Arabidopsis thaliana: one gene and its partners. The protein of the gene in region 1 interacts with the protein of each later gene in a pairwise test. Each region holds a gene or a part of one and is shown on either strand. Other genes may lie near its edges. The genes, in order: ckl10, AT4G18630, AT1G29240 and AT2G27770.

Region 1 (6,883 bases):
CGTTACATGGTCATGGGCATGAAGCAGTTTCGTTGTTTGAGGAGATGAAACGACAAGGAGTGAAACCGAATCAAGTGGCATTTGTTGCTGTACTAACGGCTTGTAGTCATGTGGGGTTGGTAGATGAGGCATGGGGATATTTCAACAGCATGACTAAGGTTTACGGTTTAAACCAGGAGTTAGAACATTATGCAGCTGTAGCGGATCTTCTAGGCCGTGCAGGGAAGCTGGAAGAAGCATACAATTTCATTTCAAAGATGTGTGTTGAACCAACTGGTAGTGTCTGGTCTACCTTATTGTCTTCTTGCAGCGTTCACAAGAATCTTGAGTTGGCTGAGAAGGTAGCGGAGAAGATATTCACTGTCGATTCTGAAAACATGGGAGCTTATGTTTTGATGTGCAATATGTATGCGTCTAATGGAAGATGGAAAGAAATGGCGAAACTAAGATTGCGTATGAGGAAGAAAGGATTGCGGAAAAAGCCAGCTTGTAGTTGGATCGAAATGAAAAACAAGACTCATGGATTTGTTTCAGGAGATAGATCGCATCCGAGTATGGACAAGATCAACGAGTTTCTTAAAGCTGTAATGGAACAGATGGAGAAAGAAGGGTATGTTGCAGACACAAGCGGCGTGCTTCACGATGTAGACGAAGAGCATAAGAGAGAGCTTTTGTTCGGACACAGTGAGAGATTGGCTGTTGCCTTTGGTATCATCAACACAGAACCTGGCACGACAATTAGAGTCACTAAGAATATAAGGATATGCACGGATTGTCATGTCGCAATCAAGTTTATCTCGAAGATCACGGAAAGAGAGATTATCGTTAGGGATAATAGCAGATTCCACCATTTCAACCGTGGAAACTGTTCTTGTGGAGATTATTGGTAATAATGAAGTGTGAAACTTTTTTGACTTCATCTTTTGTTCAGAGACAGAAACGACGTCGCATAGGGAACATATGTTTCATTACACTTATTGTAGTGTTCAACCAATTTATATATTTTTCTATCTCTATAATTTTCTTATAATTAGGAAAAATTAGAACAAATCATGTGGAAATAGACCTAACAATAAAGTATTGTTTTAAAAGTAAAGTGGAATTTGCATGAGTTTTTTTTTGTATTTATTAAACAAACAATATATGGAATGTTTGGACATAAATATATATGATCTGTTGTGTATACAACAACAACAGACAGAAGCTGACCCATGCATACAAAATTTTCACATTATTATTCATTGCCCATAATAAATCATGGCCATTGGATCCCTTTTTGGCACTATGAACATTCATTTTCTATGTAGTGGAAAATCGACTAGTCGTTATACTATTATAAAATATGTTCACTATATATAAAAACCAACAGAATGGATTTGATTGTAAGTCAGTTTTTTTTTTTAATACCACTAAATTATTGCTATTTTTTTTTATTGCAATGTCAATTGGTGATATAGTTCATATTTTTACCGTAGTGGTAAAAAACCCCGAAATTTAGTGTATACATAAAATAGGTATTATATTTCTTGGATCGTTTATATTTGGACTGTTTTTTTTGTCTTACGATTTCTCGATCAATTGTTTGTCCATGATCCTTTTTTCACTATTCTTGCCAATATTGTTTGCTTTGCTTTTCCTATACTTAACATTTCCAAAGGTGCAACTTGCCATAAATTTAGTCTGCGAAGAAAAGCAAAGGATTAGTTGTGCTAATCATCAAACTCTCTGTTTTAAACATTGTTGGCATTTGAGAAGTCGGTAACACAAAGCTTACTTTGCTTTTAGTTTTCTTTGTCTTGTCTTTTCCTTGAATTTGGTTGTGCTTGGTTCTACGTCGATGGTCATGATTTAGCAATTTTCTAAAGAAAGCAAAAACATTCAAGAAACTTTGGCAGCCATCCATGAATATTAAATTCAGCAAGTCCTAGAAATATATTTTGAATAGAGTAGATATCTTTTTTTTTTTGCTCGACAGAAAAAAAGGGAGAGTGGATATAGAGTGGATTTGGTTTATAAATATATACATAAAAGAAAAAATAGGTAAAAATATAGATTTTTTTTTTTAATGAAATTTGCATCACTATGATAAGAAGCTAAAACATCCAATGATCATAGTGTGAGAGAAAATTAAGAATATAGTGACAATTTTTTTAAGGTTTTTGTTTTTGGGTGAATAATATATAATAGGGTGAGAAAGTAATTTGATATATAAAAAAAATGAGTGGGAAAGTAAATTACTAAAATATTATTTAACAATAATTATTTTTATCTGTATCCGTTTATTTTCCCTTTCCCGTGACTTAAAAAATGTTATTAATTATTATGTGTATAAAGAAGAATGAGATAAATAAATAACATCCGTCAAAACCATCTGTCTCTGTTTTCTCATTCATCTCCTCTACTTGTTTAGTCGGTCATCAAACTATCTCTTCAAGTTTATCCTCAGAAATATACAAACTCCTCAGAAAATTCTTTCGTTTGGTTTGCTTCGTTCTACAATTTTGTATTGATGAGAATGTTATATTGAGTCATTAACCGTTTGATAAATCGTATTTGGCTCTGTAAGTAGTATTTATTGGTATTGAAACGATGGATCATGTAATCGGTGGCAAGTTCAAGTTAGGTAGGAAGATTGGTAGTGGATCATTCGGTGAACTTTATATTGGTATATAAAAAATCAATCAGTTTTTTTTTTTTTTTTTTTTTTTTTGGTTCTTTGTTGGTAATTAGTGTGAATTTTGATGTTGATTCACTTTGGTATGTGTGATTCGAAGGGATTAATGTTCAAACTGGAGAAGAAGTTGCTCTTAAGCTGGTATGTTACATATTCAATTTTCAGTTTTCCACTATTAGTGAATCTTGAAACTATGTTGTCACACTATACTTGTATCTGAGGTCATAAGTTTTAAGTTCTTTAGTTTTCTTTAGACTAGCTTTTGTTGAGTATGAACATCTTATTGATTCTTTTGTTTTTGTTCTCTATAATATAGCTGTTGATCTGTTCTTATACATTTCTTTGTTGGTAGGAACCTGTGAAGACAAAGCATCCTCAGCTCCATTATGAATCAAAAGTATACATGCTTCTTCAAGGAGGGAGTGAGTTTTCACTTTTCATTACTCAGCTCATTTCACTTGATGTTTATGTTTCCATTGGTCTAAGTTCTTTGGGTTTTCTTTTGACTAGCGGGTGTTCCGCATATCAAATGGTTCGGTGTTGAGGGTAACTACAATTGTATGGCTATTGACCTTCTTGGTCCAAGCTTGGAAGACTTGTTCAACTATTGCACTCGGAGTTTTTCTTTGAAAACTGTTCTAATGCTTGCTGATCAGTTAGTAAGTATACATACTCTTTCGAGTTCTTGATATCGGGTTAATGTTCGGTTGCGGGATCATTGCTAATGTTTTAGCTCTTTTGAGTATTACTTTAGATAAACAGAGTTGAGTACATGCACTCTCGAGGATTTCTTCACCGTGATATTAAACCGGATAACTTTTTGATGGGTCTCGGTCGCAAAGCAAACCAAGTAGGCTTTCTAGTTTCGTCTTTAGTATGTCGTATGATTGTTCTTAGCATCGAGTCTGGTGTGACGAGTTTTGGATTTCAACCTCAGGTGTACATTATTGATTATGGGCTTGCTAAAAAGTATAGAGATCTTCAGACACACAAGCATATACCTTACAGGTTAGAATACTTCCTTGTTGGTTATTTTGTTTGTGCTTCATTAGAAACTAATGTAGGCAAGTATTGATGTATTCAGGTCTTATGCTTGGTAATTTACTATATGCACTCTTCATGAAACTTTTTTTATAGGGAAAATAAGAATCTGACTGGAACTGCTAGGTATGCAAGTGTCAACACACACCTTGGCATTGGTGAGAAATGTTTCCATGTCACACATTAGAATAGCTTTCATTCTATATTTGTGCAGTAACCGTTAAGCTACTATTTTCCTTCTTTTGAAACATTTCTTATATCTTCTTGCAGAGCAAAGTAGACGAGATGATCTGGAGTCTCTTGGTTATGTTCTGATGTATTTTATACGAGGAAGGTAGGAAACTATCTTGGTTGTGTATTAATAGTGAAATCTTTAAGAAACATGAGATCCTTAAACTTGAGACGGAATACAACTTCTTGTCTCAGTTTACCATGGCAAGGTCTAAAAGCTGGTACTAAGAAACAGAAATACGAGAAGATAAGTGAAAAGAAGATGCTTACTCCCGTAGAGGTACGTCATATATCTACAATAGTGTTTTTGTATTGCGAAAAGACGATGTTTAGCTTTTCTTAAACTTTTCGATAAATATGATTTTGCTGTTTGCAGGTTCTTTGCAAGTCATATCCATCCGAGTTCACATCATATTTCCATTACTGCCGTTCATTGAGGTTTGAGGATAAACCAGATTATTCATATCTGAAAAGACTTTTCAGGGACCTTTTTATTCGGGAAGGTTAGAAACCTCTACTGTATTCTGTCTGACTGTCTCCTTCACCTCTCTATTAAACCGCTCATGAATTACATCAATTGTTAATGCCTTCAGGTTATCAGTTTGACTATGTGTTTGATTGGACAATCTTGAAATATCCTCAGAGTGGCTCTATTTCAAAACCAAGGGTTAGTGTTTTTTTTTTGCATCAACATATGATGATGAAGAAACTTTTAGAAACCGTAAAATACTCTGAAAATCTCATGTTTGTATTATATTGTGTCTCATTTCTATCAGCCAAATCCTAAACCAGCTCTAGACCCTCCAGGACCATCTGCAGAACGAAATGAAAAGCCTATAGGTATAACATTATTTTACATCCTGCAGATAGTAGACATATCTTACGCTGAAATGGTTGAAGTATAAACTCAGAAGTTGATTTCCTATTTTTGTGTAGTGGGGCAGGATCTACGAGAAAGATTCTCAGGTGCAGTTGAAGCATTCGCTAGACGAAATGTACCGAGTCATGGCATTCGCCCGAAGCACATTTTTTCTGATGATGCTTCCAAAGAAGTGGTTAGTTTTCTGTTTGCTATCTTTCTGTTGTGTAGATGACTTTAAAGTTTTCCGGTTGGTATCAATCATGAGAATCATTTTGATGTTTGTTGCAATGCACAGCAAGTGTCTGAAAAAACCCGAAATGAGATTGCTACAAAGATGGCAGTGATGTCTAGCAGCCAACCTGGCTCATCAGGTGAGCTGAGTGAGAACCGCTCAAGTAAACTTTTTTCAAGCAGTGCCCAAAAGATTCAACCGGTGCAAGAAACTAAGTTATCTGCAAGGCTTGGGCGTGATGACGGCCTGAGAAGCTTCGATATGCTTACTATCGGTTCCGGAAAGCGGAAATGAGTCACTCAAGAAAGCTTGCGGATCGGAGTTTGGAAGAATCTGAAAATGTGTAAACAATGTAAAACTGTCTCCCACTTTATGTGTTTATAGTTCTTCATAGAATTTTATAAAGTGGTATATGTAACTTGTAACACAAGTACTTTGTTTATATTAGTTCAAATTTGGTCAAATGCTTGAAATCTATTAATAGACGTCAAGTGTCTCCTGAAGTGTCTGAATCTAAAAATAAGGGTTACCCATGTTTGGTCTGAAGCTATCATTTAAGTTGAATTGTGGAGACAGAATAGACCATCCAATTTCGAAAAATTGATGATGGGGACACTTTGGTTTGGAGATTTCAAGAAACAAGCCTCTTCGTTTATTCAAGACAAGTACAATGTTGCTAGACTTGTCCTCACCGATGTTACCGAAGCTGAGTTGTGAGTAGACTATTAACTTCATTAATTAGCTAATTGATAATACTCCATTAGTGATGGTTAAATTTAACTCTTTCATTCTTAGGTTAGTAGAAGAAGTAACAAATGGTGATCCTTCTTCACCAGACGCTAAAACGATGACGAAAATAGCCGAGGCATCGTTTGATACCGTGGAGTATTGGAGAATTGTGGATGTTCTTCATAGAAAGTATGAATTAGTTTTGTTTCTCTTGAAGATTATTATTATGATTAAGGGATAGCTTAAGATGATGATTATGAAAAACAGGATTGGGAAAGATGAAAGAGAGATAAAGAATTGGAGAGAAGCGTACAAGGCAATGGTGTTGTTGGAGTTCTTACTAATGCATGGACCTATTCATTTACCTCATGATTTTCTTTATGATTTGGATCATTTTCGATTCCTCTCCACTTTCCAATACGTTGACAATAATGGGTAAACTATTATTCCCAAATCTCCAAAAAAAAATTTGTTTTCATATTTTTCTTGTTATTGCTATCATGCTTCAATTTATGTTCGCATTATAGGTTTGATTGGGGAGCTCAAGTTCAAAAAAAGGCAGATCAAATTCAAACACTTCTATTAGGGAAAGAAGAATTAAGAGAAGCTCGTCTTAAAGCTCTCAAAATCACTTCCCAAATCAATGGCTTTGGTAACTCCACCACATTTTCTCCTTCTCCTAATTCTCTATCTAACTCCTTCTCTTCCTTGAAAACCTCCAATTCAACACCAACCAAAAGAATTGATCTTATATCCGAGTCATATTCGTTAATCGACGACGAAAACAAGCTCTCGGAGAAGGATCAAGCCAGCAAAGAGACGCTAGTCAGCGGAATCTGCACAAAACTCGCCGGATTTAGCCCTTTGAACAAGTTTCAAGGCGGTCGTACTAAGGCGGCAAAATTTCAAACTTTGTCTAACGTTGAGAGAGTTTCAAGTAAATGTTACGATCGTTGCAATTCTATTGGTTACTAAACAAAAACCGGTTCGGTTTTAAATTGTAATTTCGTTCTGTTACAAAACATCCGGTTTAGCCAAACCGAATTACAACGCAAGAAATGCTGCTTTTGCTAATCCTGTTTAAAGCTTCTTTAGCTAAACATTTTGCAGCTTC
Region 2 (5,629 bases), on another chromosome or scaffold:
ATACAATATTTTTTGTTGATAACATTATTCGGTATAACCTTACTTCACTTGCTAAGCTCACAAAGAAAATGATGAAGTAAGCTCTATATGTTTAAGCTAATCAATAAACTAATCGTAGTTATAGTTATGAATCATTGGATTAAGAAAAAAATGGATCGTTATGGATTAGTTTTTAATCTTTAAGGCTTTTAGCATTGCAATAATAATAATAAAAATATAAAGAATCGGAATAATATGCTCGTGTGGTTTCTTTCTTCCGTGATTGTAATTGTCTCTTTTCTCCTACTCTTTTATGAAGAGAAATAAAATGAAGGTTATTTCTACATTTTTACAATTAGGAATCTTTGAAATAATGGTTTTAAATTGTTGACTCAGTTGGTTTAGTTACTAAATATACTGATTTGTATTGCTGACAACAAAAGTTAGACTAAATACATGTTTGAAAATTTTCTTGATAATTCTTTGTCCATTTTGCATAATGCATAGTAAAAGGGCATCATGTAAGATTCTTAATTTGAAGTTCTAAACTAATTAATATCAATACTTTAGTATAATATTATTAGGTTGGAAGGTATTTTACACTCAGAACAGAAAGTATGATGACCTAAACTGTAGATCTCGTGAATTTCATGGCCGTTTGACTCAAATCTGTTCGGAGGTTATGAATTTATGATGTCCGTTGAATCATTGAGCTGTTGAACTAATGGAGTGGTTTACTCTATAATACTTTGGTGTGTTTTTATCAAAAACCGACCGAATCAACAGATATAATTTATTTTGAACAAGTTGGTGAAAGACAAAATAGAGGTTCTATTGATCTAAATATAACGGTGAAGATTGGAAATTTTCATGTTTTTTCGGGAATTGGGCCTTTATGAATGGACTATTGGGCCTTGCTATTTCAAAGCTTGGGTGTTGGTGGGGCTTGCTATTTCAAAGCTTGGGTGTTGGTGGGGGAGTGTGAGTGGTTGCCACGTGAAGGATACTTATTCCCTTGTCCTTTTCATTCCCGCAATTTTAGGGATTTTGGTCAACGAAACTTATTTCACTTTCTTTCAGTAAATCGATTTTTTTCTCAGGTGTATATTTCTCAAGTTATTGTCTACTTTACAAATTTTCATGGGTTTCTCCTCCTCTTTTTGTATTAGATAGATTAGAATAAATGTTCGCTTGACCAGTCGTTAATTTATTTATAGACACTTTTGAAGAATTGGTTATTAATAAATGTAGTACCTACCAAAACATAAGTAACGACAAACAGATAGTTAAGTTATGATTAAAAGAAATTTCTTCAAATACCATTTCTATTAGTTTTTCTCTCATTTTTCATACTATTATTCTTCATTCTTTTTTTGTTTGTTTAGCAATTAAAAATCAAAGTTTTGAATATTGGAGACGGAAAGAGGTGGCCGAGTAATGTTTTTTCCTCTTAAAACGATTACTATACTACCTAGAAAACAATTACATAATCTAAAAGTAATATACTATACACTATGTAATCTAGAAGTGAAATGTTAATTTATAGTCAATATCTAAGGCCGGTTGTTTTAGCAAATTATAAGTCAATTTTTTGGAATGTTATGAGTAATTCAAAGTAATTAAATTATATATCGTAATCGAGCCCCATCATCCGTCGAGGCGAATGCCGCGACTTTTCTTTCAAAGACTTTAAACAAAGTAAACAATTAGTGGTGCATTCGGAGAAAAGAAAATTAGTGCTTACATTATAAACGACGTTGCGTGGCTCGGAAAAGGACACAACAACATGTGTTACATTACCAAAGTCGGTAATTTGGCTCACATAAATGTCTTTTCTCACTTTTTCTTTTATTTTGTTTGTTTCATTACTTTTAGAGAAAAAAAAAATACAGTTGAAACTTGAACCACAACTACTCCTCACGTTTTGCCTTGAGGAATATTTCACCTTATTAGGGCCAAATTTGTGTCTCTGATCTTCTTGTACTCCGATGTCTAACGACATCGTTATGTATTCACAATACATAAAATTTCCAACAAAAAGAAAAGTAGTTGATCTCAATATCTCATCATTAATTTTCAATCAAATCTTTGTGGGGGATGGGATTTATTCTAAGCTCAATTATAACTTATATAAGAAATGAAAACAACCAAACACAAGGTTAAAGAGAAAGTCTCTTTATTGACAATTCTTTAGTCGCACACTTATAATAGATTCATCTGCTATTTTCCTAAACTCCAGCCTTCAATCTCGGTCCTAGACATTCGGCAATCATTTACACACATATATTAATACATTAACTCTATTCTTATTTTTCCGATTTTCTTACTTTAATAAGAACAACTACAATCTCAAACACATAGCAAGAGAAGAGATACACAAAACAAAGACTCTGTTTGTTATTCTTCCTTCTTTTTGTTTTCAAGAATGGAGGGAAAGAAATTGAATTTGTATGCTCCATTACCATCAATCAGGCGAATTCCGTCTATGATAGAGCGTTCAAGTGAGTTAGAGAATAAGAAGACGACGATTACAAGACCAGAGCTTCGATCATGTCCGAGCACAAAACAAGAAACGCCGGTTTTTGTATTACCAGACCAGAGCTTTGATCATCTCACAGAACCAGCTTCAATTCCTTTTATGTGGGAACAAATCCCTGGAAAACCAAAAGATGACATGGCTACATTGATTCAAGAGTCAGGTCTACTAGAAACCGATGATGAAGAAGAAGACGAAGTAGATGAAGATTTGGATACGGTTTCTTCAAATGTAAGCTTCTCTGTTAACTGCAGCACAAGTGGAGTTAGCGAAATCGAGAAGACCGGTGAGAGATCTGATTGTGATGAGAAGTCTAGAGAAAGTCTTGATCTAATGATGTCAAGATTCTTACCAGCTGCTAAAGCAATGGCTCTTCAGACACATCAGAAACATCAATCTTCTTATAACTCTTCAGAGCAGAAGCTAATCACTCAGAACAGAGAAGCTCTCGTAGCTCGTCAAAGAAGTCAACTGGTTGCAGAACATGAACATTTCGCCATTGTTCAGAGTCTTTACGATGACTTAAACATTGATGATGATACTGAAGACGACGAGAATGATGATGATGGTGATGATTATGGTCATGTTGATCACAAGATCTACCCAGCTGAAGTTACCAAGAAAGCTTGCGGATTCTTGCCAAGGCTTTGTGCGAAGAACTCATTCAAGTTTCTAAACCCGGTTCCTTTGGATTCAGTATCAAACCGGTCTATGAAACATTCGGGTGATCAAACCAGTTTACCAAACTGGTCAACTAGGCGTCTTTCCGGTTTTATCTCTCCGTACCGAACCTCTTGTTCGGATTCCGGTTTTCTCGGAACTCCCGAGAAACCAGAGAGCTTCAAAAGGCTAAACAGAGGAATAAGCAAGTCTCAAGAACTGTATCCAACAAGAACAAGAAGAGAGGTTCTTCCTAATTACTCAAATTCTGGAGAGATCAAAATGTTTAGAAACTCGATCTCTACTCCTTCGAGGATCCAACGGACCACAATTCACGATTCTAGGTTTCTTGTTGAGGAAGTAAACAGAAGAAGGAACAACAAGTCAGGGAATCTTCAACAAACATCGTCGGAATATACACCTGCGCTTTCTCCTCCTCCGTTACCGGAAACTCCGTCTCGTTCCTGGCTCGGACGAACCCTCCTACCGCCGGTGAACCCGAGACCGTACGGCGTCGTTTTAGGTCAAGTTGGTATCAAGAAACTGAATCAAGAAGTTCTTGAATCTACGAAATGGGAAACGATCGTTAAAACATCGTATGTTCACAACGATCACGCTCGTTATTCTCAGGTATTAATTACTCTTTGAACATTTTTGGTTCTAACAAATCGAATTCTTTTAAAAATACGTTGTATTATTGAACATTTTAATTTATATATCTTCTCTTTGTGACATTCTTCTATGCAGGAGCTGATTGTTTATCCATCTCGCCAGCAAAATACATAAAACCAGACAAATTACTTCTTGTTTTTACATTACAATTAAGTTAATAAATAGTTTTAAGGTTTGCCTCTTATTTTTCTTGTAGGCAACACAAATGTACCCGAGATTGATTCTTTATGTTTCAATATTTTTGTGTGTGTTATAATTGTGGCGTTTGTTTTCCGACCGCATTATTTGTAATTGGAAGACCTCATGTTATTGATGTTAGATACAATATGGATTCCGTGCCTAACCAGTTCTGACTTAGCCGGTTTAGACCGGCACAATTATACAACATAACCAGGCTGATTCATAGTGTCGATTCGATAAACCGATGAAGTTTCTTAAATAATCATATATGATCATATCATCATAATTGAAATTAGAGCTATCTTTGTCTAAGACACACATATAATATAAGATTTTGATTGACTTCTTTTTCTTATAATATCAGCTGCAATTGACATTTGATCATGACGGAATAAAATATTTTAAGAAAGTAATGGGAGACATGTTACTAGCGATGATGCTCTTTTTTTTTTGCTTTTGTCAAATTACGGGTGATGACTGATGATGTTCATGCACATTAATTCAAAACCCCATGTCATGTGTGGTAGTGCTCATTATACACAAACGATATGAAAACCGTTGGATTACCGATATCCAACGGTCACAAAGATTCACTATTTTATTACGCACTAGTAAAGTATAAGAGGCAGGCACGTCCCCCATGCCCCATGAGTCTTGTTGTTGAATTCGATTTTAAAATAACAAAATTAGAGAGTGAGAATAGATTTGGATACTAAAATTAAAAATACATAAATCGTTCATTTTGTGTTTTAAAATACTTATGGTGACGTGGCTTAGTGTAGTATAGTTAAGCACGTATAATTATTAAAAAAAAAAAATAGAAACCAAAAGTAAACTACAAGAAAATTAGGGGTTGTGAAATTGGAAAATTTTCGAAATAATTAAAAAAAGAAAACAAATTGTGCAAAGAGAGAGAAGAGGGAAGACAAAGGGAAGAGGGAGGAGAGAGAAGGCACCACCCTTTGGCCCTGGAGAGACCAAAGATGGTCGAAGAGAGACAACTCTGAGATCATCATCATCATCCTGCAAAAACTAACGAGAAATCGATTTTCAAAAATATAATCAAGATCGATTTCTAGGGATATTTTGATTTCTAAATCCTCTCACCAACATTCTCTTGCTTGCCCTACCCGCTTGCTGGTTTCATCCAGAAACATAATAATACATTGTTTGCATTATAAGGAATTCCTTTATACAGTAAGTTTTATCATTACCTATCATTTGTTTGGTTCCTTTACGTAATTTGCAATGTTCCTCATTTTAAAGAGAACAACATAATGTTTTTTTTAGGTATATATACGTTGCTTCTTCGAAACGGTATCCCCTTTGGTAATTATTGTTATTTTTATTGCATTTTCTTCAGGTATCAAGAGATCCACAAGAAGCTGTTAGATCCCAGAGATTAACACTGTGATGAAAAGGGTTTTGTGAAAATCAATTTTCAAACCTGGAAAATGATGATCAAGGACCCTTATATCCGACAATTTTCTTCTTTCTTCTGTACATTGTAATATATAGAAAATTAACATTTTTTCTCTTTCTTTCTTTTTTTTCTTTTGATATTTGGTTTGGTTATATAGAAGAGAAAGTTTGTTTCTGGGA
Region 3 (6,889 bases), on another chromosome or scaffold:
TAAACGTAAATGAGATACATGATTAAGCTTAAACTAGGATTTAACCCGTGGTACACCACAGGAAAAATGTTTAATTCATATATATAATAATATTAAATTTTATGGTTTAAATTTAGTATTAAAGTTATATAATTTTATATAATATTGTAAATAAAAAATTTGGTGATGATAAAATAATAAATAAAGATTTAACTCGTGTTATATCAATCCAAATCCGTCCCGTTATATAACTCGTTTTATGATATTTTAATATTTTTTTATAAGGATAAATATTATTAATGTTTTATAAAGTTCATATATATCAATAATAATATACCGTTAATGCTAATTGATCCTCTTAAATAGGAATATTAGTGAGTAGTATATTTTAGTTTAGATTTGGAAAGATTTAAATAATTGTTGTGATATATTTATTTTAGTTTCCTAAATTTTAGTAACAAAATTAGTTTATATTTAGATTTGAAAATAAAATTGTTAAATATTAAATGCCAATGGCATTGGGTTGTAAATAAATCCCAACTTGAAGATTTATTTCATAAAAGTGTTGCAAAAATATATATATAGATACAAAATAAACTAAACCATAATTACTAACCAAACTAAACCATAACTAAACGAAGTATATACACTCTAATACAATCTTTTTATTACCATCACCGTTCAACACCACCTTTCCGTCCGGGTAATGCGAACGTGTTAACATTATTACAACACCATGTAAAAATATAGTTTCATGTTCGGTAAATTGATTTATAAACAACTAACCACAAATGTAGTCCATCCATATAATTTTTGTCGATGTAAGCGTGACTTATCTAATATTCATCATTATCCCGAAAAAATAACAATCACCCAACATTTTGTTCTTTATTTTCGCAAGAATCAAGAGTCAAGACTTACCTCCTGGTCCTCCTCTCATGAAGATGTTATAAGTTAAAACATGTCGTACATAATTTTATCGACGATATTCTATAAGATATAGCGTGTAAAACAAATTACCAACATACATGATTAATTGATTATGTTAGAGGGTTAAGTGAGGAAAAAAGAGAGAAGAAAAAATTGTTACTAAATTTCTAGAAACTAAATTTCATCAACCTAATTTCATCTTGTCTAGTGTTATTTTTTTCCGTCTAAAGATTTCATTCATTAGCTGCGGTAGAGATATACAAAACAGACAAGAACAAGATCTTTTCGGAGACAACATTGATGGGTACATAGAAACCTCCAAAGACTAAGACCCAAATTAAAGGGCAAACAAACATAAGGAGGAAAAGCTCCTAAAAGATAAGCTAATGAGAGAACATGTAAAAGGACTCCATAATAGCAACACAACTCTTCCTCACAAGCCACCGACAAGCATTTCCAAAGAATTTGTAAGTCTAGTGTTGCCTAACTAATTTTATTTTGATTTTTAACAATTAGTAATAAATAAATGAAATCAATAGTTGGTCAAAAATTAAAAAACAATAATTGGCATTTGGCACTGTTAGCATGCAAATACGTTTATGAGGGCAACCCCGCAACGGTGTTGGAAAGCAGCCTGCTGACAAGAGTGTTCGTTAGCCAACCGTTTAATCCCTTTTAATTAGTAAACACACAAAAACAAATTGAATTTACTAATCTCTCTTTTGTATAATGGAATATTCACTGGTTAGGTGAGTTTTTTGTAAAGATGATAATTATGGTTCTGTTTATATGAATTAAATATTTTTATATATCATAAAAGAAAAATTATATACATATTTTGCATTATGTATGTAAGCATACTTTAGTATGTCATACTTATAACATAACTTCAGTGTAAACAAAATCCAAACTTTCAGAAGATATGAAGACAAAGAAAACTCCTGGTATAATAACAGCATAATTATTGATTGAAATAATATGTGAGCTAAGTTGGTATTTGTGTGTATTTATTTATCCATTCTGGAGTTATTATAAAATAAAAGGTTTGAAAATGATAGATTGAGTTGGTTGCGCCAATTTTTTTTGCTTTCCCCTATCAAAATGTTGTCATTCTCTAATCGGCCCACACCTAAAATGATGATATTCCACAAAAATGCAAGTGAAAAGTGAAAAGGTATCTCATAATTGTTTAGTTATTTAACAATCACGCTACCATACTCAGTCGTGGTCAGCTTATATAAACTTTATAAGTAACGCATAGATCTATGGATTCTAGATATGCCACCAAAAAATCAACTGTGTATATTCTTTTGTAATTGTAAACGATCAATCGGTGACGAACGAACAAAACTGTAGTTAAAAGCAGTACAAAATAAATAAATAACGAATAGAGAGCGCAACACCAAAACAAATAATAAGAATATTGCTCTTTGCATCGTTTTTGCTATCAATTTTGTGAGTGGTACAAGATTATACTAATCAGTAATCACGTCCAATATTTGTTTGATTTTACAACCGAATTTGGTTTGGTTCGGTACTTCGGTTAAATGTTGTCAAATACACTATTCATGTTGATCATTGACCAATAGAAGAGAAAATAAATGAGAGAAAGCGTAAATACAAGTAAAGAGGAAGAAGAGTCCAAATGTACCAATCAGCTCGTGACTACTTTCAGCTTACCTTTTTCTTCTCCAAGTCCCATCTTCGTCTCCGTCATCTTCACGGCACATCCTCCAAAAACGCTTAGCTTCTCTCTCTGTTACGTTTACTCAAGTCTTTTTTAGTCTCCTCCTTAACTCTCAAGCCTTTTCCAAGTTTCAAGCGGCTCCAACGGTTCAATTTCGCACTTTCCGATTTGTGGCTTCACTTTCCGGTAACGTACTGATCTCAATCCTTGTAGCTCTAAAACGACTCTCCTAGTTTCGCTTATTTTTTTTCTTGAAATTTCTACTGTAGAATGAATTAAGCATGTCGACGAGGTTATTTTAGTTGACTATCGATTAGAATTTTTCGTGAGCGTTACTTTCTCCGTACATTATCCTCAGTTCTGCATCTAAATCTTGCACTTAGTTCTTCATTTCTTGAGATTTGTTATCATTATTCTCTACTCTACTTAGTTATAACGATTATGACATCGTCACAGTCTTCTATATGTGGGGTTTCTGGTACTCAATTGCGCAAATCCTTGTAATGATTGATGTCACGGGTCTGAAAATTTTGACACCGTCACTAGATTTCATAACTTTTAAGCGGTGTTGGTGTTGCGTTAAATATTATTATTAAAATTGAAGTTTCTAGTAGTAAAAAAGTTCACAGAGAGATCTTTTCTTTTTGTCTGTATCTACCTACTTACTTCAGAATTCAGATAATAATCCTTTATACATAGAGAAAGAGATCATCTACTATATGATTATTATATGGTTTTTATATGGATAATATTCAAGATTACTGAAAAATCTGTTGTTTTGTTTTGTTTCAGATCTGTTCTAGAGAACTTCAATATATATCCATATATGGTTTCATTGGTCTGTGAGCCATATCCTAAGAACTAAACTAGCTAGCTCTCTTACTATGGAGGAGAGGAAACTGAACTTCAGCGTACCTCTTCTTTCAACAAGACGGATGCAGAAGACAGCAGGAGTCTCTGTGCGTAGAAACAAGAGTAATAACTTCACTGATTATGACTCTAAGACAAGTGAATGTCCTTCTGTTCCAGTTCTTGTTCCATATATGATGGGTTTAGATGATGAGGTTACTGAACCTGCCTCTGTTCCTTTCACTTGGGAACAAGCTCCTGGAAGATTAAAGGGCAATGATTTCAAACCCCAAGTTTGTGTTTTGATGAAAGAAGAAGAACAAGTTTTTACACCATGTCTTCCACCGGGTAAAGCCGTTGATGCAAACATGACAAGATTGCAGAGTTCAAAGGGTAAACAAGTTGAAGAATCAGATGATGATGAAGATGATGTGTTTTCTGATGCTCTTGACACTCTCTCTCCAAAGGACTCGTTTTCTTTTAACAATAGCATTAGTGGTGTGAGTGAATATGGTGGCGTTGAGACCAAGAAACCACTGGATGCTCAATCTCGGGATTTCATGATGAGTCGTTTTTTACCAGCTGCCAAAGCTATGACTGTGGAGCAGTCTCATTATGCTTCGAATCGAAAACCATCCACTTTTATGGCTGAACCAACGATACAGATAAGAGAGTTAGTACCGGGGGAGAAGCAGCAAACTCCTAATAGATATGATGTGTCTATAGTCCCATCTTACTATTACCACCAAGACATTGATGATGAAGAAAGCAAGGTGGGTGAGGAAGATGATGAAGTTTCTGAGTACGCCTATCTTTCAAAGAGAGGTTGTGGAATGTTGCCACAATTGTGCTTTAAAGACTCTCTCGGCATGCTGAACACAGTGCCTGGTTTTAAAGCTAAACACAACTCTCCAATAACATCACCAAGTCATGATCAAGTGAAGTCAAGCAAGGTTGCTCAACTCAAATATCGATTCCAATCTGTTAAAAAGGTTCCACCTTTAGACTCCTATTAGTCCCTTATAAATATGATTAGACACTCACTGACTAGTAGCTCTTGTACATTTTCCAGCTAGCTCTTGATTCAGTTTCTAAGCACAAGTTGAGTGGTAAAGTTCATTCACCAGTTCATCCAAGCAATGGGAAGAAGTTCAACTCTGAATCAAACTTGATTTCTGCTGCGAAGAGGTCTTCATCTCCTTACAGACACTCTCGCTGTATGTCACCATTTCGCAGTACAGGTAACGGTTCTCCTTTACACCATGCGGGTTTCCCTGAGACTCGTAGGGAAACCGAGAACCTGAGAGCTAACAGGTTGAGCAATCATACTAGAAACATAAGCAGGACGTCTCAGGAGTTACTCTACCCAAAAAGCAATGGTTCAATCTTGGAGAAGACAGTTTATGTCGACACCGAGAATGATCACATGACCAATGATCAGCATAACTCAAATCTCATGATCTTTCCAGAGGAAGCAGATATGACAGGAAGGAAACCAGATGCCAATCCTGAACTTGAAGCTTTTGAAAATATAAGTATTAGAAGTAGTGAAATGGTGAAGGGAAATGAGTTAGTAGAGATCAGTAGTGGTTTTGATCGGTCTCCTCTTGCACCACCTTCTCCCAAAAGGCCTTCTGAATCTTGGCTTTGTCATAATCTGCCTTCAGTAACTTCTCAGATCACTTCACGTAGATATCATCCATTCAACCCCCAAAAGCAGGATCTTACAGAAAACTACAGAAATGGTACCAAGTGGGAAACTATTGTTAAGACTTCCTACATGCACAGAGATCATATCCGATATTCCGAAGTAAGCATCTCTCATTTTCACATATACAGTGCTTTAAGCAAGAATCAGCTAGCCATCTTTGGTATTTACTTACTTCAATTTTGTGCAGGAACTGGTTGCTCATACATCTCATCAATCCAAAACTTGAGACCTTGATGCTTCTCGAGTTCTGACCTCCCCGAGATCATCAGGTTTATACCTACGTTTCAGCTCAATCATTAGTTATTTGGTAGTCATTTCATCCACTGGTGAAAAGAAAATATGTGCTTGTTTTATGAACCTCATTTACATGTGCAGCTTCAATATTAACTCTAATTAATGAGGCAAATACTAGTAAGACTTAGGATGAAGAAAACAGTGAACTAAAGGAAGGCAGAGTAAGAATTTCCATTAAGCTCGTCTCTTGTTTTACATATATATACAAACTATATATGAGCAATCCACCAAAAAACTGGCTCTGTGACCAGAAAAAATCGACTAAATTGCCTGATCTCTCACCCTCTTTTGCTTATTTTCTTCCCTCATCTTCCTATCACTCACATTACAATACCACTTATATACATAAACACACACTGGGAGATTTCGGAGATCACAACAAATCGTGAAGATCTCCGAAATCTCTCAGTTTTACACCAACATCAACATTAACATAGAACAAGAATAACGAATAAATAATCAATAGTAACAAAAGAATGTAACACAATCTTGTTTCTTGTATATTCTTGTTATCAGCCTTCCTTGTTTTATACTATTCAGTATCAGATGGCAAATACAATGCTTCTTCTACTACAACTTCTTCATGGATTAGTTTCTCCAGCTCTGGTCTGAGTTCCTTGTTGCAAAACTCTTCATACTCTTCTCTGTCTCCTCCTTTCTTCTTCACCTCCACCACCACTAGAGATGGAGTCAGCTCAAATATCTCAGCCGCAATTGTCAACGGTCCTTTTGCTCCTTCTCTACAACCTTCTAATCTCAAACTCCATTCTTTCTTCCTCACAGTAAAGCTCACGATTTTCGCAATCTCTTCCAGCTTCGATATGATCTTTGAAACAGGAGCACCTGACACAAACCTCGTCCCTTCTCCTCCTTCTTCCTCAAACAAACCAGACAGATCAAACCCTGAAGAGAAAGATATAATGTCAAACGCGTTTAAGCTCGAGGGTCTTGGCATTGAACCTATTCCCATCCGTTTTACATCGAACTCTGCATCGCTCTCTGAAACTGTCGAAGAGCGGCCTGATGATGATGCCTCTTCCTCCTCATCTTCATCTTCCCTACACAGTTTATCATCTTCGATGTAGAATTTAACATGTTTGAATCCTTTCTTGAACCATCTGTTCTTCATGATCTCGGGTATTGTAATCCGAGTATCCGGATTCGTATCAAGAAGCCGAGTCAATAACCGAACAAGATCCGATGAAAACCAACGAGGACACCTAAATTCCCCTTTGTAAATCTTCTTGTACATAACCATTATGTTCTTGTCGTAGAACGGAATGTGACCAGCCATCAACACGAATAAGATCACTCCACATGACCAAACATCGGCTTTCGCTGCATCGTACCCTTTTCTAGTCAAAACCTCGGGTGCAATATACGCTGGAGTCCCGCAAAACGTGTGGCAGAGCCCGTCTTGACGAAGCTGCTCTGCCACC
Region 4 (5,143 bases), on another chromosome or scaffold:
TGTTTCGAGTGGTTTTAACTCTTCTTTTTTATAGTGGATATAATAGAACATATTTTGCGATCTTGGCCATTCCAAAAATCAGGCTATACATGAACATTTATATAAACATATTAGACATCTTTTATGAGTTCTTATAATGGAATTTATGCTCGACAAGAGACATCTAGTGATAATATAATTTTTCTAGGTTGGCTGGATTTTAAATATGTCCAAAGTCCACACCCAAATGTCACGACAAACAAAGCAACCGTGTTCCTTTCTATGTTTATTGGCTTAGTTTGTTTCATTATAGCTATGATAGTATTTATTTATTTTTAAAATTCTGATTATAAAATAGTACTAACGTGTTAATACGAGTTGGATTTTGCTGAGTGTTCGCATAATAGGTTAAGATTAAGAATTTCATCAAAACCGGATCGGATGCAGAACCCCATATATCACTACCAAAAAAAGAATTTTATATCATTTATTTTGAATATTTGTATTACTTATGTCATATAATATATTATCGATGCAATATATAGTTGAATATCATTTCATGGCGGGCGTCAATAGAAGAGATGGAGCTCACTTCGATAAGATAATGTATCTCAAGAATTTAAGAAGGAAAATAGTTTGGTTTGCCTCAAGTTTATTTTCTTAAATTTGTTGTCTTTAAATAATCTCTCGTTCCTTCAATTTTTAAAGCAGACGGTCTCGTTCTTTTGAAATTTTGTTCCCTCTGGATTTGGTAACCCAACTAAAAAGTTTATTCTAAAATTTTATTATTAATGTATAGGTGATAAAAGAGAAGTAATAAATTGGGCTAATTGTTTTGGCTAAAACACTTCTATATCATTTCAAGAGTTTGAATAATCAAAATTTGGAGAAAATCTAGGCCAACACAGGCAAATAAACGAAGTTCCAACATTTGGCGGTTAAGAGAATTTGTACAACCGGCTCACAATTCCTCTCTTAGATCCGATCCGATTTGTTCCGAGACCATTATATCCGGGTTTACTTCTTTTGTTTGTTAACTTCTATGAAGCTTTATTGATTTGCTTTTTTAGTCTATATGGGCACAACATGTCAGTTTATTATCCCAATGAACTCTATCGTATGAGAAGGAGACTCAATCTCAGGTGAGGTGGTATCAATTTATGAACACCAGTAGATCACAATCACAGTCACTTCTCTAGTATCTTGCTTTTAAAATGCCATTTCTACTACCAAAAAAAAAAAAACATGAACCGTATATATATATATATATAATTTCACCTTGGATCCAACCAATTCAAACCTACTTCCAAATAGATTGGATATCTGTTTTATTGGAGTGAATTGGATTAGATTTAAGATATCCCAGTTAAGCAGGTTCATGAAATAATTTAAAAGACAAAAAAAAACATAAACTTGTTCTGTAAAATTTTCTAAGAGTGTAACTCTAATTTCTTGTTATATATTTTTATATTCTTGACATATTCATATATGTAATCCTTCTGATCCAAAATTTTATTAGTAGATTCTGTATACAAACTCCTAATATATCCGATTCTTCAAAACGGATTAAGGATATTTTTAAATAAATATAAGTAAAAACATTTTATTTTTATTTTTGCAACAAGTCTATTATTGGTAGTAGTTTTAGCTGCCTGAAACTTTTTTTTTTTTTTCGTCTATAAATTGTAACTCTCGACTTGACTCCGATGTATGGAACTACAAAAGAAAAAAGAAAAACGTATTCGTAATTACTACATTACGAACCTTCCTTTAATTATATGACGGTTTCTTAAAATATGGATGGTTCAAAACAAATTCTCACTAATTATAACGATTATATTATGTCTATATTAACTGAGAGTTGCTTTGACCATCATTATATTAGAAGAATTCCTCTATCTGTAAATTCAGACATTTTTTCAATCTATATATACACTAATATTTTTCCTAAATTAGTATATGTTTATCATTTTGATCTATATAAAAATCATAAACCTTAAATTCTCTTATAGAAACTTTACAAATGTATCATAAACAATTTTAAGTTAATCAAAAAGTCATATTTGAGTAACACCAAATTTCAATTCCCTTTAGAAATTTATTAATAAAAAATAAAATATTAAAGTACAAAAACTTTTAAAATTAGTTAGCATACAACTATACAATAAAAAAAAATAAAAAAAATATCAACATCAAATTTGTGTCCCCTAGACAATGAAAGCTCAAAACTACTTAAATTCGGCTCCTTTCACCTCCACTCTCTTCTTAGCACACACACAGAGACCTTAATCCATTTCTCTCTCTCCCTCTCTCTCATTAAGAAAAAAAAAGAGAATCAGAGAAGAAATAAAAAGAAAGCAACTCAAATCTTTAACCTACAAAAACCCAGATTTGTTAACTCTCTCATTCTTCTTCTTCTTCTCAACAACATTTGATCTTTTTGATTCTCAAAGTATTCTCAAAGTAAAAGAGAAACACACTTTGTTGTCTCAACAAGCAAGCAAACAAAACCCATCTTGGGAAAATCTCATTTCTTTCCCAAGAAAATCTCATTTTTTCTGTTACAATTTTTTCCTAAGAAAATGAGAGATTTGGTGTCATGTTTCAGTGAGAACTCAATAAACGTGACACATCCCTTATCAATATCATCTTCATCATCATCATGTTCAAAATACAGTACCAACAATGTTTGTATCTCACCATCTCTCATACCATCAATACAAACCTCCATTACAAGCATCTACAGAATCACTTTATCGAAACATCTCATCATCAAAGTCACATGGTGCAATCCACACAACAACAATGGCTTAAGCATCTCTGTTGCATCCGCAGATCAAAACCCTTCAACAACTCTCAAACTCAACACTTCTTCTCGTTTCTTCCGTAAGAAGAAAGGTAACAAATCGGTTGATTCCGATCTCGGTAAAATCGAGGTTTTTTGGGATCTTTCTTCAGCTAAATATGATTCTAACTTGTGTGGTCCTGAACCTATCAATGGCTTCTACGTTATCGTCCTCGTTGATGGTCAAATGGGTCTTCTTCTTGGAGATTCATCTGAAGAAACTCTCCGTAAAAAAGGTTTCTCCGGCGATATCGGTTTCGATTTCTCTCTTGTTTCTCGACAAGAACATTTCACAGGGAACAATACTTTTTACTCGACTAAAGTAAGATTCGTTGAGACAGGAGATTCACATGAAATCGTCATCAGATGTAATAAAGAAACAGAGGGTCTAAAACAGAGCAATCATTACCCTGTTCTCTCTGTTTGTATTGATAAGAAGACGGTGATAAAAGTGAAGAGGCTTCAATGGAATTTCAGAGGGAATCAAACGATTTTCTTGGATGGATTGCTTGTGGATCTGATGTGGGATGTTCATGATTGGTTCTTTAGTAATCAAGGAGCTTGTGGAAGAGCTGTGTTCATGTTTAGGACAAGGAATGGTTTAGACAGCAGCAGGCTTTGGTTAGAAGAGAAGATTGTTAAGAAAGATCAACAAGACAAGCTTGACTTCTCTCTCTTCATTTACGCCTGTAAGACTTGAAAAACATTATAAAAAAAAAACTCAATTTTTTTTTGAGATTTACAAGAAAAAGGTTATTGATTGATTGATTCTGTTTTTAATATTTGAGATATTTTTATGGGGTTTTTTTTTTTTTTGAACTTACAATTTCTTCTTGGGAGGAGTATAGATTTTATTTTCTTTCTTACATTCTTTTTTTTTTTTGGTTGGAGTTGTGATTTAATATTGAGAGATTCCAAAAGATGTGAATTTCTTCATAGGAGTTGTTGTTTTATTTTTATTTTAAATTTGGTTTTCTTACAAATTCAAGAACATTGCCATATCTTAAATTGAAGTCATTTGTTGGGAAAATATTTGTCTCAATGACTCTCTTTCTTGGCAACATTATGATGTTTATTACTATGTAGGCTCATCTACAGATATACGTTTTTTTCTTTCATAAATGTTGAAGTAATTGATGATTATGGTTAAGGAAGAAGAATTGAAGAGTGTGAAATAAGATGAGAATATATTGGGGCATATGTGCACGCCTATAAAGATATGCATGGAGCCTCTTTAAAGTACAAAAGTTAAAAGGTCTAGAATCTACTCATGCTAATTTGTTTTTCCTATTAATCTAACAAAATTTGTGAATGAAGTAAAAATGTAAAATGCTATTTTTTCTTTTGGTTTTAGAATATCAGTATGTGAAAATTTAAGGCATAGTTTATTATGTTTTCAAGTTCCAACTCTAGTTAGGTTATTTTGGTTAGGAATGTATTAGGTGATTAACATCTCGATCATTCAAGGAACAATTTCTTCATGGTTTAGGTGACTACATTGTAAAGTACAAAGTTTTTTCTTTACATTTTTTGTTAAAATTGTTGTAAGAAAATATGTCTAGTAATGGCTAATTTTTAGTTAAGTTGGTTCGGTTAGGCGAGGTTTAGGTGGTGACATCCCATTCAAGCAAATATTTTTTCTAGATTGGTTGATTTGGAGAGTTTTAGGTGATGTAAGTAGTTCAAGCTTTAGTTTTAGAATTTGATTATAGTCAGTCCGAATTTATGTTTTCATATAAGTTTGAGTTTTGATAAATTGGAGTTAACTATTTAATACTATAGAAATTTAGGAGTATTAAAATGATCATTGCATGTAAATATCATACGATTAAGATTAACCATGCCTCTGTATTTAAAGGATATAAGTATTACTATAATACAATAGGATACAAAATAAAGATTCGGTCAACATAACATTACAATATAATTAAAATACTGCTTCGAGTCATTTAAAACTAATCCAGAATTTGAAAGGCTGACAAATTTACCATTGTTTACACATAATAGAAATTTGACTGTTAAACCCATATATAATGAACAAAGCTTTAAGAGAGAGAGATATCGATAGCACGTTTTCACACAACACGATATATAAATTAAAAAACCATGTATGATACAAAATGTAATATGTGCACTATGGGGTGCCTGGACATTCATTACCATTTATTCATTTAAGTCACTAACAACATTTGCATTCCATGAATAATTCAGGTTGCATATTATAAACAAATATATATCTAAACCTTAGAAATATTTCAATTGGATGTTTCATCCATATAACATTAAAGAATGTTTCACATGGTATCACTAATTGCAATT

Evidence for each region.
Region 2: the proteins of ckl10 (region 1) and AT4G18630 interact in a two-hybrid assay, tested with the Arabidopsis thaliana proteins (one large-scale study listed by BioGRID).
Region 3: the proteins of ckl10 (region 1) and AT1G29240 interact in a two-hybrid assay, tested with the Arabidopsis thaliana proteins (one large-scale study listed by BioGRID).
Region 4: the proteins of ckl10 (region 1) and AT2G27770 interact in a two-hybrid assay, tested with the Arabidopsis thaliana proteins (one large-scale study listed by BioGRID).

Annotation. Positions count from the first base shown.
Region 1 is NC_003074.8:8,348,458-8,355,340, forward strand, and holds ckl10 (casein kinase I-like 10), read left to right. Parts: upstream 1-2,345; 5' UTR 2,346-2,589; coding exon 2,590-2,665; intron 2,666-2,774; coding exon 2,775-2,815; intron 2,816-3,026; coding exon 3,027-3,096; intron 3,097-3,184; coding exon 3,185-3,333; intron 3,334-3,428; coding exon 3,429-3,524; intron 3,525-3,611; coding exon 3,612-3,682; intron 3,683-3,811; coding exon 3,812-3,873; intron 3,874-3,985; coding exon 3,986-4,049; intron 4,050-4,141; coding exon 4,142-4,226; intron 4,227-4,322; coding exon 4,323-4,449; intron 4,450-4,539; coding exon 4,540-4,613; intron 4,614-4,722; coding exon 4,723-4,786; intron 4,787-4,882; coding exon 4,883-5,001; intron 5,002-5,103; coding exon 5,104-5,334; 3' UTR 5,335-5,564; downstream 5,565-6,883. Other genes in the region: AT3G23330 (Tetratricopeptide repeat (TPR)-like superfamily protein), read left to right, coding at 1-890; AT3G23350 (ENTH/VHS family protein), read left to right, coding at 5,644-5,753, 5,836-5,958, 6,037-6,204, 6,297-6,744; AT3G23360 (Protein phosphatase 2C family protein), read right to left, coding at 6,800-6,883. UniProt on the Arabidopsis thaliana protein: Casein kinases are operationally defined by their preferential utilization of acidic proteins such as caseins as substrates. It can phosphorylate a large number of proteins.
Region 2 is NC_003075.7:10,254,774-10,260,402, forward strand, and holds AT4G18630 (hypothetical protein (DUF688)), read left to right. Parts: upstream 1-2,003; 5' UTR 2,004-2,404; coding exon 2,405-3,805; intron 3,806-3,922; coding exon 3,923-3,961; 3' UTR 3,962-4,184; downstream 4,185-5,629. Other genes in the region: PYL13 (PYR1-like 13), read left to right, coding at 1-80.
Region 3 is NC_003070.9:10,215,516-10,222,404, reverse strand, and holds AT1G29240 (transcription initiation factor TFIID subunit, putative (DUF688)), read left to right. Parts: upstream 1-2,462; 5' UTR 2,463-2,782; intron 2,783-3,388; 5' UTR 3,389-3,480; coding exon 3,481-4,437; intron 4,438-4,517; coding exon 4,518-5,255; intron 5,256-5,343; coding exon 5,344-5,382; 3' UTR 5,383-5,626; downstream 5,627-6,889. Other genes in the region: CIPK18 (CBL-interacting protein kinase 18), read right to left, coding at 5,983-6,889.
Region 4 is NC_003071.7:11,831,470-11,836,612, reverse strand, and holds AT2G27770 (DUF868 family protein (DUF868)), read left to right. Parts: upstream 1-2,185; 5' UTR 2,186-2,561; coding exon 2,562-3,524; 3' UTR 3,525-4,070; downstream 4,071-5,143.